Linked DNA regions of Xenopus tropicalis. The main gene of each other region encodes a partner of the protein of the gene in region 3 in a complex. Links are inferred from orthologs where the notes say so. Each region holds a gene or a part of one and is shown on either strand. Other genes may lie near its edges.

Region 1 (4,807 bases), on a different chromosome or scaffold from region 3:
TATTGTGATTAAATCTACCCAGAAAGAGAAAAAGCAAGCAGGTAAAACTCCGGTGGAGGAAGAGGAGAAGGTCTCAAATACAGAGAAACCGGCTTCAAAGAGTAGATCTAGATATAAGCATGACCCAGTGGATGAGAGCAGTGAGACAGAAGGTCAGGAAACAACATCAGAGAGGCATAAAGAGGGAATAAAGTTGACAATTCGGACTATCCGGGTGGCCAGTAAGAATAGGAGACATGAGGTACCGGAGGCACAGCCTGAAATTTCAGAGGAGGCTGAGGAAAGTATCGGTCGCACATTGAGGCGTTCCCCTCGAATTTCCCGCCCTTCGGTGAAGCCAGCTGCTGAAGTCAAAGATCGAAAGGCAGAAAAGAAACAAAGCGACGAGGAAGACAAGCCTGCTTCTCAGAGAACAGAGAAAGATGACGAGAGAAAGACTGATAAAGACTCAAGCCAAAAAATAAAAAAGGTGCTTGTTTGTAAGATTTGTGTCCAGTAATGTCATGGGCCTTGCCTACTTACGGCTGTGGCACGTTGGGCATTTTGACCAGAACTGTAGGAAAAATATTTATATATAAGCTGGGGGTTACAGCTATTTTATTATAATACAAAATATCATGTAAATAATATAATTATTAATATACTTACTCCCAGTAGCCAATCAGCAGAACAATGGGAAGGGAGCAAGATAGCAGCTCCCAGTAGGTATCAGAATAGCACTCAATAGTAAGAAATCCAAGTCCGGCTTGGGACTCCTCCAGTTACATGGGAGTAGGAGAAACAATAGGTTAGCTGAAAGCAGTTCTAATGTGTAGCGCTGGCTGAAAGCTCAGACTCAGGCACAATGTACTGAGATGGCGCCTACACACCAATATTACAGCTAAAAAATTCATTTATTGGTTGAAGAATGAAATGTTAAATGGCAGAGTGAATTATTTGCTGTGTAACAGTGAAATTTAGAAATAAAAGTACCCCATAAAAATCATGATAGAATGTAATTTCTGTCACATTACTCAGTGAAAACTTGCATATTGTAACAAATAATGTACCCCTTGTTATAAAATATGAGGATATTAGAAGCCACCTTGGATTTCCATGACGTGTACATTTATAGGGTCATGAAACTTCTTAGTATCTTATAATAGCTTTATATTTTACAATAGGCATTACATTATTCACAATATATTTAGTCAAATATATGGACCATGGAGCCAGATTTATCTTATTACTGGTGTTTTTCAGTGGGAGCTGTCCTAGTGTTTTCTCATCAGAACATCAAAATCTTTAACGTGTAGACTAAAAAATATGAAATTTTACAGGGGTCATTGCAATTCAAATATGTGGGTTTTTATTGAAATAGATTGAGGCAGTGCAGGGCTGTGGATAATTCTCTGGGACCAATCCTGTCTGTGTTTCCTTTTACATTCTCTTTTCTTCCTTCATAAGTTTCCTAGAGAGCACAGCTAATAAAGCTTCTGGCTGTAAAGGACCAGGGCCATATTATTATTAAGAGCAGCTTTCTGTTCCAGCTAATGTATGTGTATTTCTCACCTTGAATCAGAATAAACCAAGGCAGAGGAGGCGAGCGCGTTGGACAAACTCTCGGTCGCGGCGGAGACGCAAATCTTCCAGTGAGGATGAAAGTGAGGAGTCTGACAGTGAGGAGGATTCAGAGGGGGATTCAGAAGATGAAGAGAATAAGGAAGATGGTGCCCCCGGTGAAGATGATGAGCCTTGCAAGAAGTGTGGCCTCCCCAACCACCCAGAATTGGTTAGTACTAAATATATTGCAAACGTACCACAACTTATAAATCTGCTCCATCACTAGAAAAATACTAGTTTCCTGCTACAGATTCAAAACTATTTTTTTTTAATAAACCCTTTGTATGTATGTGATAGAGATAATAGAAGGGCAGCATAGGGATTCCCCTGTACTAAGCACAATTCAGCAGGAACAGCCCCCTAAGTTTGCTCATAGCCTGTACAGTGAGATACCAAAAAACTATGGCAGCATAGGGATTCCTCTGTACTAAGCACAATTCAGTAGGAAATTCCTTATTTATTCTGCAGCATTTTAAACTGTGTTAACAAGGGATGCTGAACTGTTAATAATTTACCCGTATTGTTTTTTCATTCAGATTTTGTTGTGTGACTCCTGTGACAGTGGATACCATACGGCTTGCCTTAGGCCACCCCTGATGTTGATTCCAGACGGAGAATGGTTCTGCCCTCCATGCCAACATGTATGATTCCAGTTGCACATTTTAGTATCCGTATACAATTATTGTTTGGAACTAATATAGATACTATTGACGCTCTACTATAAACTACTATACTAGACTACTGTGTTCCTATTCCTCTATTCCTATTCCTATTTCTTCTCTACTACATAGCGCCTATCCAACTCTTTATCTGCCCCAATGTATTGTAGCTCATGTATTTGAGATACTAAGCGTTAGCCTTTTCCAAGGATTTCAATGGGAGCATTCTCACATCAGATGGGTCATATAGCATCTTTTTCATTTTCATTTTTTAGTTAAGGCTCAGTAAATAGGTATCAAGGCATAAACACTTATTACCGGAAGCAAAAATAAGTGATAAGTAATTTTGCTGATTAATATACCTTTCCCTTATTTATAAACAGAAGCTACTGTGTGAAAAACTGGATGAGCAGTTACAGAATTTAGATGTGGTTCTGAAGAAGAAGGAGCGAGCAGAGAGGAGGTATTTAATTGCACTTCCTAACATTGCCACTGTTGCTGCTATTGCGAGTTGCATCAGTTACCTCTTAAAGACTGTAAAATGCATTTGCTTTCCAATTTTCAGTATCCTTTGTTTTCCATAGCTTTTATGCAATTGCTATTGACTCAGCATACATTTTTAACCTTGAGTCTGACCCAAACCTCCTTATCCAACCCATATGCTCCTTACTTTGTTGCTGTCCCTTTACTAGAAAGCAAATAGGCCACATTCCTCAATGTCCAACTTTCCTTTACAAGAAAGCAAAATGCAGAGAGCATGGTCTGACATCATTAATGCCAGAGAACGGTCAGCAAAATGGCCATAAAGAATAAGTAAACCTTTTACTTTTCCCTGCATTCAGATTTATCTCTCCGACTATGAAAATATCAGAGGTGACTACTGCGCATGCCTGATTGATTTTAATTGGAGCAGAGGCAGTGAGCATGTCCAGTAGGCAACTCTTTGAGGTCTTCATAATTGGAGAAAAGGGCTCAGAAAGAAAAAGGGGACAGCGCTTTACACTAGCCAACAAAGTCAGCAAAAGCTGCAGCTGAACTGGCTGTAATAGAGCAACTAAATAAATCTGCATCCAGGGAGAAAGGTATGTTGGAGTAATTTTAAAGATTAAAAAAAAGTTTACTTATCCTTTAAATTGATAGCATTCATCCAATAGCAAGTATATTATAAGTATTAATGTGACTGTTTTGCTTACAAATGAAGAGACATATGAACTTGCACTTGATCTTGCAAATACTGGCCAGACTGTTGCTATGTAACATTAGCCTGACACTAGTCATTTTTGCAAGAGCTGAGTGTTTTTGTAGGCTGGGATCTCTAAACTGCAATTCATATCTGGCCGTCTGAGGAACTCCAACCTGAAGGCCATAGTTTGAATATTCATACTGTGATTTGGTAGTTTGTCATAACAATCAAAACGTATAATTACCCGTATGTATTGTTTTCATTGTAGGAAAGAACGGTTAGTTTACGTTGGAATCAGCCTCGAGAACATCATCCCAACTCAAGTAAGCTTTTCATCTCCATATCTTATCACTAACTGGCACATGATTTGGGATAGAACACTGAGAACTGATATTGAAATGTTGCATTAGGAACAAGAGGAGGTGCCGGAGGTACAGGAAAAAGAAGAAAAGAAGAAAAAGAAACCAAAGTCATTGGAAAGACGGTCCACAAGAGCAAGAAAGTTCATAAGCTACAGGTTGGACTTTTATTGTTATTATGTAGGCTTTGGCTGCCGTGGCACAGCTGTGGTTTAGATATGAGTTAGATGAAATGTATCTTGGATTTGGATATAGTATTTTGATTGTATGTTAATTGAATTTTCCTTTCACTTAATGTTTCCATTTACTGACAACTTGTCTTAGGTTTGATGAATTCGATGAAGCAATCGATGAAGCAATAGAAGATGATATCAGAGATGCAGATGGAGGGGGTGGAGGTAGATTCCTTTTCTCCCTTCTAGTTACATTTAGAGTGAGAAAGCATGGTAACTTAAAGGGGTGGCTCACCTTAACGTTAACTTTTAATGTTATAGAAGGACCAATTCTAAGCAACTTTTCAATTAATCTGTATTTTTTGTAGTTTTTGAATTATTTGCCTCCTTCTGACTCTTTCAAATGGGAGTTACTGACCCCGGAAGCTGAAAAACTATTGCTCTGTTTGCTCTGTGAGGCTCTAATTTTATTGCTATTGTTACTTTTTATGACTTATTTTTCTATTCAGGTTTTCTAATGATGATATACCAGTCTTTAATTTATACCACTCCCTGGTTGCTAAGGTAACTTAAACCCTATCAACCAGATAACTGCTGAAATGGCAAACTGGAGAGATACTGAGCAAAAAATGAAATAATAAAAAAAAATACAAATAATAAAAAATGAAGACCAATTGCAGATTTTATTAGAATATTACTGTCTACATCATACTAAATTTGACTCAAAATTGAACAACCCCTTTAATCTTCCCTGCATAGGACTGTTGCACATTAGCACACATACCGCACGTATGGACTGTGATAACACAAAGCATCAGGGTAACACGCTTG
Region 2 (4,807 bases), on a different chromosome or scaffold from region 3:
TACATATTGGATATGATGGTCTTTACATCTGTGATTATTATTTACAAATACATTTTTTTTTTTACAGTTTTTGTACCTTGCCAACAGTTTTGTAACTTTCCATGTAGTTGCAATGTGACCATTTATATCTTTTTATTAGTTCAGATTATTACAATCCCCATCCCCCTGTTTTGCATATACACTTAGAGACAGGTGACATTTCCTAACTGCTTGTAGCCAATACATTTTGTATGCTGCAGATAGATATTGGATATTTCAAGAGTGATGACAGATGCCACATTATCTTTAGGGTGATGACAAACCATGGTTTTAAACTTATTTTTAATAGTTCTGTGGGAGGGGAGTAAAACATTTTAAACTGGGAATCTCATGCAAGGGGGCCTGTCCAGTTACGTGAAAAATTCTTATCTCTAAAAAATGCATTTTCAAACAATAAGCAGCACTTGGCAGGACTTAAGCTGGCCAGACATGGGTAGATTTAATATGCCAATTCAACTCCTTCAGACCGAGTTTGCCAGATATCTATCAGGCAAATTTTAAAATCCCTTTGAGCTAGGACTGCTATGGTGTGTTAATGCAGTCCTCTTGCAACAGGCCTACATAGGCCCTCGCTGTATGATTGTGGGTGGCTAAACTGGGCCCAGATCGCTTGTTTAGCAACCTTGCCTACTGAGCAGATTTGGCTGTGTAATGCCAGCTTAAGAACTTGTGGGCAGGATTTATGTTTTTAGTCCCCTTCCATGGAAATTGAACCAGATTTTAAAAGGCAGTGTGTCTGTGACTAGTTATCTATTTGTCAGATTACCAGTACAGTAAGACAGGTGTTTGCAAGATACTACATACAGTATTATTATTTTAATGGATTTCGTAAGAGAAAGTAAACCACAAGAGCTTCTGAAATCCTGTGGGGTTTCTGAAAGCTGAACAGCAGACTTATTTACATTCATAATTTCCCTTGTGTCTGTCCTCTTGCATCAAGCGCTCATATTATGCTCTAATCATTATATGCTAATGTATTAATTAGTATGATCATTCATAACATCTCCTTATAGTATGCAATATAAAAAGATGATTTTGCTACTTGATATCATTTTTATTATCATAACATAGAAGAATATATACAGAAAAATAACATGCTGAAAATGTATTCTGTCTATTGGATTAATTATAATGCATTTTGTCTATTTGTTTATTATAAATTGCAAGAACCAGGAAGTTTGAAACATAACATTTATACTGTTACATGTAGTGGATAAGCCTGTCCTTTGCAGAGATGAAAGAGCCTACATCTTATCATTGGATTTATTTGTATTGTTGTAGATTAATAATGTATTCTTTATGTTAGCACTACGCTTTTTAAAAATGTTTGAAGCTAGTACTTAGGCTACTATATATGACCTAACCAGCAGTGATCCCCAACCAGTGGCTTGGCAGCAAAGTGTTGCCTACCAACCCCTTGGATGTTGCTCCAAGTGGCCTCTAAGCAGGCAAGTTTTGGTTTAATAAAAAACAGCTGCCAAACAGAGCCTCCTATAGATTGGCTATCTGGTAGCCCCAATATGACAATCACATCCCTTATTTGGTACCCCAGGAATTTTACTATGCTTGTGTTGCTCCCCAGATCTTTTTACTTTGAATGTGGTTCATGGGTAAAAAAAAGTTGGACACCTGCCCCATGGTTACATCTCCCACATTTCCTGTATAGATACAAAATTGCTGAAGTTAATTTATTAGCTATTGCCTGTTTGCCTTTTTAAGTAAACCAGTTTGAAACATATGAGCTTTAGTGCAAATCTCCAGCATACAGTTAGAAATTATGTAGGTTTTGATTATGCCTTGATGTTTTTTCTTCAGGAAAGAAACATGTCTTCTGACACTGAATCCAATGCACTCACTAAAGAGGAATCTGAACAAATTGAAGAGGCTACCGAAGAAAAAATGACTGACGATGCAGAAAATGGAAAAGAGGAAGATGAAGAAGAAGAAGAGGAGGAAGATGATGAGGAGGAAGATGATGATGATAAAAAGGGTATCTATAGTGTTTTATAGCTTTATATGTAAATGTATAGAACGCTCATCTCTCCAACCAACTTCTGAAAAAAGCCTGTGAAAATTTGAAGACTTGTACAGCAGGAAGTATTGATACCAGTGTATGTTTTTATATAATGCATTCTAAATTCTGGTTCTCTTCTACTGCTTATATTGAACTAGTATTAAATATACTTGTTTGAAGTAAGGAAATATAATTGTTAAATAAAAATGGAATAGTTGAGGTCTGTTACCCTAGCTGTACATCTTTACACCTCACTCCCTCAAACATACCAACACCCGCCTCATTAAAAGTTGGATATGCTGAGATATTTACTGAGACCCACACAAAGGATTGTCATCACAGCCCTAGTGATGTATTACATGGAAATAACTGAGCAATAAGTAAATATGTAAATTAGTCTCTACCATCTGCATGTTTGGTTAGGTTGGCAAATGTGTGGATCTTTGCCTGATTTCTCCACAGACAAGCAAAATCAGGCTGATCCAGTCAACTGGATCATACTGTGGACCCACTGGGAGAGGAACACATGAATTTCATGTCTTTGTGTGGTACATATGTTTATAGTTGTTAGTGTTGGTTTTTGAAGCTTAGAAAGATATACATGCTAAAACTGTTACAGAGACAAACTCATACTAGGGCACTATCTAATCGCATACTCAACTTTGAGAAATAGACTATGGAAAGACAACGAAAAGTTGGTATATGATCTAGTATTGTAGGATCTAGTTGGATCTATGCTTGGGAACTTGGGTTTTCTGGACAAGAGGTTTCTGTAATTTGGATCATTATAACTAAATAAAAATTTAAGGCTGCTGGCACACAGGGAGATTAGTTGCCAGCAATAAATAAAAATTATATAATAAATTAAATTACTTGTGGGAAAACATTTGCTGCCATTTTTTCCTTTGTGAAGAAACTTTAGGTGACTTTGAAAAGCACCCCATATTTTTTCCCACTGGCGATTTACTTGCTGGTGGAAGGGCATTTGTAGAAGATTAGTCGCCTGCAATAGAGGTGATTTATCCCAGGCGACTGTTGTTCTTCTGTTTCAGCAGCATAAACATTAAAGTGGTTTAAAGTAAGTAAAATATAATATATTGCTGCTGTGTGCTGATAAAACTGGAGTGTTTGCTTTAGAAGGCAACTATAGTTTATGGAAATAAGCTGCTGTGTAGCCACGGGGGCAGCCATTTCAGCTGGAATAAAGGTTAAAAGGTGCAGGTTACATAGCAGATAACAGATGAACTTTTTAGAATACAATGGTCTTTTACAGAGCTTATCTGTTTTCTGCTATGTAAAATGTGCCATTTAGCCCTATTTCTATATGAATAGCTATGCCCATGGCTACATTGCAGCTTTGTTTACATAAACTGTAGTATTATTTCTGAAGCTAACACAACTTTTACCAGTCCAAGGCAACAGTACATAATATATTAATTACACTTGTATTTTTTGGTGTTTACGTTCCTTTAAACCAACCAATAGCTTTGTTTTGCCACAAATATGAATTCATGCAGCTTAGTTAATATCTAGTGCAAGATACTGTATTACACAGAAAAAAGTAAATAATGTAAAAAAAAAACTGTGGTCATGAGCACTACAATGTAACATTCAACATACTTTCGTTCAAACGTGGAAGGTCATCACTGAGAGTTGGCAAATTATTAGGCATACAATGCACAATTAATATGTAGCAAATTAGAAAATCCTGTTGTATGAGGACCACATTAATTCATTAAATAAATTTCTCTCCTGACAGCCCTCCCTAGTCCTTCATTATGATTTGATTGTTGGCACAGTGGCCAACTGATCATCCTGATTTGGGCCAGCACATTGTAGCCAAATTGGGTAAATATTTACTCATCCACCAACCTCTCCAAACAAGCAGGTGTATCCCAACTTAAGTCTTGAGAATAATGTATATAGTTAACACTTGAGCAAAATGTTAAAAGCCCTAGTTAGTATTAGTATGGTATTTTTATGTGACCCTGGAGTATTCTTGTTTCTTTTCAAGAGTTCCTTGGAAAAGGTATACACAGGTTTATATTGATGAATATGAAATGATTTTATTCTCACTTTGTATTTATTTAGTAAAATATTGGAAGATGTGTGTGTTTTATTACCGTAACTTTTCTCAAAGCATGTTTCAAAATTCTTTATTGATCAGTATGATGCACCTTCAGCTGTGTGAAGTTATGACTATACAAATATACAAATAATATTAATACTCATCCTAAATTGTGTGAGATCTTTTTTTTGCAGAGAAAAGCTTAATTGTAGAAGGGAAAAGGGAGAAGAAAAAGGTGGAAAGACTAAGCCTCGAGATGAATATATCTAAAAAGGAGTTTGTTCTGACTGAAGGTAATGTTTTTACTTGTTCAAAAGTAAGTTCTACCTATGAAATTGATTTGCAACCTTGTCAGATCTAAAAACTATAATGTTTATTTTTGAAATAAAAACTACTAGATAGGTTTTTAGGGCTCTCTTTCTGATTACTGTATTTCAAATACCGTCTTTGCTCTGTTTTTTACTCTGTATAAATGAGTTGCTCATTCAAGTGCTTTCAGACAATAGTCATAAATGCTGATTTAAGTGTTTTGCTTTCCTTAGCCCTGTTTGCTTTACCTTTAAAATGAAGTGTTCAAAATACCCAAAATATGCCATTCCCTTATATGTACCAGTATCTTATTTTGAGAGTCAAATAAATAATTAGATCTCTGGAAGGGAGGGGATCTGGTTTTCATCTCATCCAGT
Region 3 (5,588 bases):
AAGTAACATTTTAAAATAAAAAAAAAACCAAAAAAACAGATTAAATCCAAATTTATTGTATTTCCTGAAGAAATCGAAAGCTAAGACTCACCATTGCTGTTCTTGATTTTAAGAACCAGTCAAATCTGAACTGGGGAGAGTTCCGTATACACTGCCGCAGTTCATCATACACATTTTCCTTATCAAAACCTAGCTTGTGTAACATGCAAATGAGAAAACGATCCTCTTCCTCAGTGTAGTTTTTTCCTTTGTTTGTACCATACGAAATCCTCAGTTGGTGGAAAGGTGCTTTGTATCTTCCAATCTAAAAAAATTAAGTGACATTAGTCTAAACGTAATTGTGTAGCGTAAAATTTGCAATAAGGAGTTCCATTCTAATTTTACAAATACATTTAGGAAGCAAGAGGGTCATGGTTAGTCCTGTATAAAGGGCAGCCACCAAGGGGCAAAGGGTCCCAGCGAAACAGCATACAGATACTGGACCTTTATCCAGTATCCTGAAAGTTCTAAGGTGGACCTCAAACCCACTCCCAATTCAGCAAAATCCAACAGCTGAGATTTTACCAGATGTAGGACCAGGTTGAAATCGGGCAGTGCTGATGATTTCCACATAGAGCAGTCAGCTGCCATCTAAAGATTTATCTGCAGCAGTGAGAGCAAGTAAAGTGAAGGGGGACTAAAACTGCATAGAATTTGTTTTCATAAAATCGGTACAGATTTTCTTCTTCAAAGCCACACGAGTTTCTAATAGCAGGCCTGCATGTAAATAACTCTGTACCTTAGTGTGTGTGTGTGTGGATCTACTGGCAGGGTTTAATGTGCACAGCAATTTAAGCAAAAAATAAAGCGTCAGTCTAAACTGTGTGCAAATACCAATGGTACCTTTGTGTCTAGAGCTTTCTTTATGCTAATCCTCCTCTGTATCCTCGCTTCTCCCCTTTCTATTTGAGCCATTATCTTCTCGATATCTTGAAGCTCATTGCACCTTTCCCAGAAGACCGCTAAATGAAAAAAATTAAATTGTTACTTGGAACAATAAAAAGAAACTACAGGCTTCTGAGTACAGAGTTATAGGTAGCAATATGACTTTATAGGTCTCATAGCAAATACTTGCCCAGGAGCCTGAGAATAAATAAATAAAAAGTATGTGAAAGCAGAAGCTAAATGCATATTAAGCTTAGGAAGGTCTTCCAGTGAATATCCACAATACTGTACTAGTTTATTTAGCAATTAAAAACATTTGTGTCTACAATGAAAGGATTACCTGAATACTCAATGACTTCCTCTGGTGTCTTGCCTTCCACTTCCCGCGCAATATTTTCAATATCATCACGACCCCATTTCTCATTAGCCTTAATAAACTGGTTGAAATCTCTCTTATTCCAGTTTGTGAAACCCTGAAAGTCATGAGAGGAAAACATACATAACTCTTCCAGAATCTGAACATGCTTGAATGTACGTCTACAGGCAACAGAACTGTACAGGCTAAAAACAACAAGCTTTTTGGTCTCAAACCCTACATACACCATCTACCTTATCAACGCTAATCAAACTTTCATCCTGTCCATATTAAAAATGCAGTTTCTCTTCAAAGCACTGTACTGTTTCTTCCTACCTGAGTTAACAATTTCTCTTTCTCCTCTAACTCTTCATCATTGAGGGGCTCTGCCTCATCAATTTTTAGTTGTTCTTCCTTTTGTGCTTGTGCTGCATTTGGCAGATCAGGATTACGTGGTACCTAAAATAAGCAAGAAAAAATAATTGTCATATCAATATGCATAAAACAGCAAGTGGTTTGAGCAGATGGCAAAATTAATTTCTCTGGCATTTCAAAAAACATTTTCTGATTTAGGAATAATGGGGGTAAAGCAAATCATCTACAAACTGAAAGTGCATGGAATGTATCTTGTTTTGCAATCTGGCATCCCTGCATAACTCTGAATTGCATATTGACTTCCTTTGCCAATTGTCTTCTCTTTGTTTTTGTAATCAAGCAAACCACCTTATTGAGCTCCTGCAAATTCACTATATATCAAATGAGAAATGTTTCTATAATTCATTATCATTGCCTGTTGGGAAGGACTATCCTACATGCAAGAGAAAGTAGGTATGCTGGAGGTCGTTTCACCCAAACATGCGTAAGAGAAGGCTAGGCCTGAAGCAGATATGCATTGGTTTACAAAACATTTATTTTGTGTGCCGCAATACAAGTAATGTGTGCACAATGGAACCTGCATACTACCAACCAAACACTACAATAACAGCTATGGCTTTAGCTGCAGAGAAAAGACTTAATAGGAACCTTGCAAAACAAATTGGCACTTATCACATTTAATTTAGAAATGAGAACTTACCTTGTAGCCAATTGTTTTCCTGTAATAGAGAATTTCTTTTTCCAATAACTCAAATAGACGTGGAGGGAAAAACTGAAAATCTTGAACATTTGGCTGTTTTGGGGGTCTGGGAGCCTATAAGACATAATATTATTTACATGACATAAGCTGCACAGTAAGGGAACCAACATTTTTCTTTTCAAGCTCATGTCTCCACTATACAGATAATTACATATAGAGATGGAAACTAGAATGAGCTTCTGTAGTTTATATGGCAGACAATTCTTTACATCAGCAAGGAGCAGCTTAGCATGAACTTTTCTAATTAGCGCAATATTTCACACCTCTAGAGATGCGTTTAAAGATCTAAATCTTGTAACATTAGTAACCATCATCTACCCCTGCAGCAAATATCTGCATTACTTTAAGCAGTATATTTTCAACTTACCCTCCCATCCCAAGGTCTCACAGACTTATGACAAATACAACTCATGTACTTGAAACAGCAATACCATATATGACAATGCTGAATCAATTACCCCCAAATACAGCTTTGGACTTTTGTAGCCCTACCCAAAAATACCATTTCCAGATCTAAAGTAATTAGTGATCCCTCTCACTGCATCCAGTACTGCTGTAGCACTCAGCTACTCACCTTTGGTACTTTTGGCTCGCTAACACGGAGTGCTTCGCGGAAATACGCATCTACCGCGTAATTAGCTTTTCGTTCCCTTTTCGGTGGTTCAATCCACTCTGTAAATGCCATCTATAAGTTAATATCAGAAAGAAAGTTAGGATTCCCATAATGCTTAACTTGAATAGTTTTTAACTTTTTTAAAATCATGGAAATTTTTATGGTACTCAAGGAGTAATTTTAATTATCTTTGTAGTTAATTGTTTATCATACTTTATACAATCTTAGCATCTTTAGATAACACCCATATTTTCTGAAGCTCATATTAAGCAAGAAGCCAATTATAGAAGCCCGTAAGACTAAATACACACCTATGGAAAATATGACTCACCTTTTGCTTTTCTCTGTAATCTTCACCTTCAAAGTTATAAACACTGGATTCATTATCCACCGTGAAGTTTCTAAGGGAACTTTCACCCATGTTTGAGAGTTTCTCATTCATTTCTGCAGTCTTAAAGGAAAAAAAGAAAATGCAAAAAAAGTAATGGAATAATGTATACTGTTGCATAACAACTCAAAAATGCTAACATCTGGTGTGCCAATGGTATCCTATTGCTAGCATATATTACAATATCCTGGGTAACAGTTTGTTCAGAGAGATTCTGTATGTCTCTTCAGTGTTAAAGGCCTATAAAAATGTACCTTCTTCTCCCCTCTCTCCAAGATTGCATTAATGTCTTCCTCTGTGATTTCACTATCCTTTGATGCAAATACATGAGTAGCACCATGTCGAATCATTTGAAGCATTTCGTCCTTCCCTAATTTATTTAGGTTTTGGTCCACTAATCTACCTGAAATATATGGAAAAAGGTTAGTCAGTAAAACATTAAGCAAAAAAAAAAAAAAAAAAACCCCACACCATTGATACAACCATAAAAATATCTGGAGTCATTCCTGTGAATGACTCAAATATCTAGACCAGTGTTGTCCAATTTCTGTGGTACAAAGGGCCGATAATGGAAGTCAGTTTTGACCACCCCCCCCCTTTTTTTTTTTTTTTTTTTTAAAACCACAAACACTTCCAACCACACCCATCACAAGAGCTTCTAACAGTAAGGGTGTTAGTGCAGCAAAAACCCAAATGATGTAGGGATATCACCCTTCATTCATATGTGAAAGAATTATAATATTTACGACACACCCTTAAATCCATATGCCTCCTCCTCACCTGTGGATAGCACAGCATCCCCCAGTATAAAATTACACATCTTAGGGACCATATATTACTATTTCCAAATGCTAACAAACTTCCAGAATAAACCCCTGCCAGGTTTACCTCTAACAGGCAGCATAGGGTAGGCAGAGTAAGGCACACACAGGCAGCATAAGGCAGGCAGAGTATGGCACATGCAGGCAGCATAGGGTAGGCAGAGTAAGGCACACGCAGGCAGCATAGGGCAGGCAGAGTATGGCGCACACACACACAGGCAGAGTACAGCCTGTGTGTGCCATACTCTGCCTGCCCTACTCTGCCTATACGTACCATACTCTTGTGCTGTAACCTAATGGCAACTAGTGATTAGCTTTGTTCAGGTAGCTGCAAGTTATGAAAACAAAAATTTGGTTGGTTGCTATGGGTGACTGCATAGGTGCAAATGTGTCCAGTGTCTGTAAATTAGCCCCTCTGCCATACAAACATACAACCTGAAATGTACTCTCAGTTTAAACAAAAATAGAATATAACCCCTAAACATGAAAAGCCTATACTAGCTGTACCAAGCTCTATAGCACATTCATTCTCTACGTGAGGAAATGTATATTTTTTTCAACATGATGGCTCAAGACTATTCTAGCCTTACCAAATGGTTAGCCCTGGCAGAAATTTGCTCCCCCTCCCTTTCCCAGCACAGTTCACCCACATGGCTAGAGAATGCCTACTTAAATATAACAACATTTGTGGCAAGTGACCACATAATCCTACCAAATGAGCCATGGAAACACAAATATTCTACGAGTATGGGACTATATATCCAAAAAGCTCAGGACCTACAATTTTACTGATAATTATTGTCAAAAGACCCCTTAATACAATTGACACAAGTAGCTTCTTTTAGACATACCTTGCTGAATAACTATTGAATCTAAGCGCAGTTTCATTTCAGCACGTTCCACAATACGCTCTTCAACTGTATTATCCGTTATGTATCTGAACACACGAACAGTTTTAGTTTGCCCAATTCTGTGTGCTCTATCCTAAAGATACAAAGTAACATGTGCATGAGACATTGCTGAATGCAGAGACACAGCTACCAAGTCTATATGAGCATTTTTTTTCAGTGCCACAGTAGTAGTAGCAGCTTTGATTGAAGCCACTTTGCAGCAATGGATGGGGAGAAAAAGTTATGGGGAGCTGATATCCAGAATAAACCGATTCAGTAACAACACAGGTTGATTTTAATCTGGATAGTGTGTATCCATTTTGGTTAAATTAATCAGTACTTTTTTTTTTTTTTTTAAATCATGATAATCCATTTTAAAGGTAAGGTGAGCCTTTTCAGTGTCTAAGGGGCACATTTACTAACCCACGAATCCGAATTGAAAAAATTCAGATTGGAAAACGA

The links.
Region 1: smarca5 (region 3) and rsf1 share a complex: the UniProt entries of both Homo sapiens proteins name them as parts of the RSF-5 ISWI chromatin-remodeling complex. The link is inferred for Xenopus tropicalis from reciprocal best matches to the Homo sapiens genes SMARCA5 and RSF1.
Region 2: smarca5 (region 3) and dek share a complex: the UniProt entries of both Homo sapiens proteins name them as parts of the B-WICH complex. The link is inferred for Xenopus tropicalis from reciprocal best matches to the Homo sapiens genes SMARCA5 and DEK.

What each region holds. Positions count from the first base shown.
Region 1 is NC_030678.2:168,868,715-168,873,521, reverse strand, and holds part of rsf1 (remodeling and spacing factor 1), read left to right. Parts: coding exon 1-469; intron 470-1,561; coding exon 1,562-1,771; intron 1,772-2,138; coding exon 2,139-2,243; intron 2,244-2,644; coding exon 2,645-2,724; intron 2,725-3,712; coding exon 3,713-3,767; intron 3,768-3,854; coding exon 3,855-3,961; intron 3,962-4,127; coding exon 4,128-4,201; intron 4,202-4,735; coding exon 4,736-4,795; intron 4,796-4,807. UniProt on the Homo sapiens protein: Regulatory subunit of the ATP-dependent RSF-1 and RSF-5 ISWI chromatin-remodeling complexes, which form ordered nucleosome arrays on chromatin and facilitate access to DNA during DNA-templated processes such as DNA replication, transcription, and repair.
Region 2 is NC_030682.2:93,528,196-93,533,002, reverse strand, and holds part of dek (protein DEK), read left to right. Parts: intron 1-1,854; 5' UTR 1,855-1,863; coding exon 1,864-2,029; intron 2,030-4,315; coding exon 4,316-4,414; intron 4,415-4,807. UniProt on the Homo sapiens protein: Involved in chromatin organization.
Region 3 is NC_030677.2:59,223,837-59,229,424, forward strand, and holds part of smarca5 (SWI/SNF-related matrix-associated actin-dependent regulator of chromatin subfamily A member 5), read right to left. Parts: intron 5,221-5,588; coding exon 5,088-5,220; intron 3,819-5,087; coding exon 3,670-3,818; intron 3,479-3,669; coding exon 3,359-3,478; intron 3,100-3,358; coding exon 2,989-3,099; intron 2,469-2,988; coding exon 2,355-2,468; intron 1,739-2,354; coding exon 1,616-1,738; intron 1,398-1,615; coding exon 1,265-1,397; intron 1,002-1,264; coding exon 883-1,001; intron 305-882; coding exon 92-304; intron 1-91. UniProt on the Homo sapiens protein: ATPase that possesses intrinsic ATP-dependent nucleosome-remodeling activity.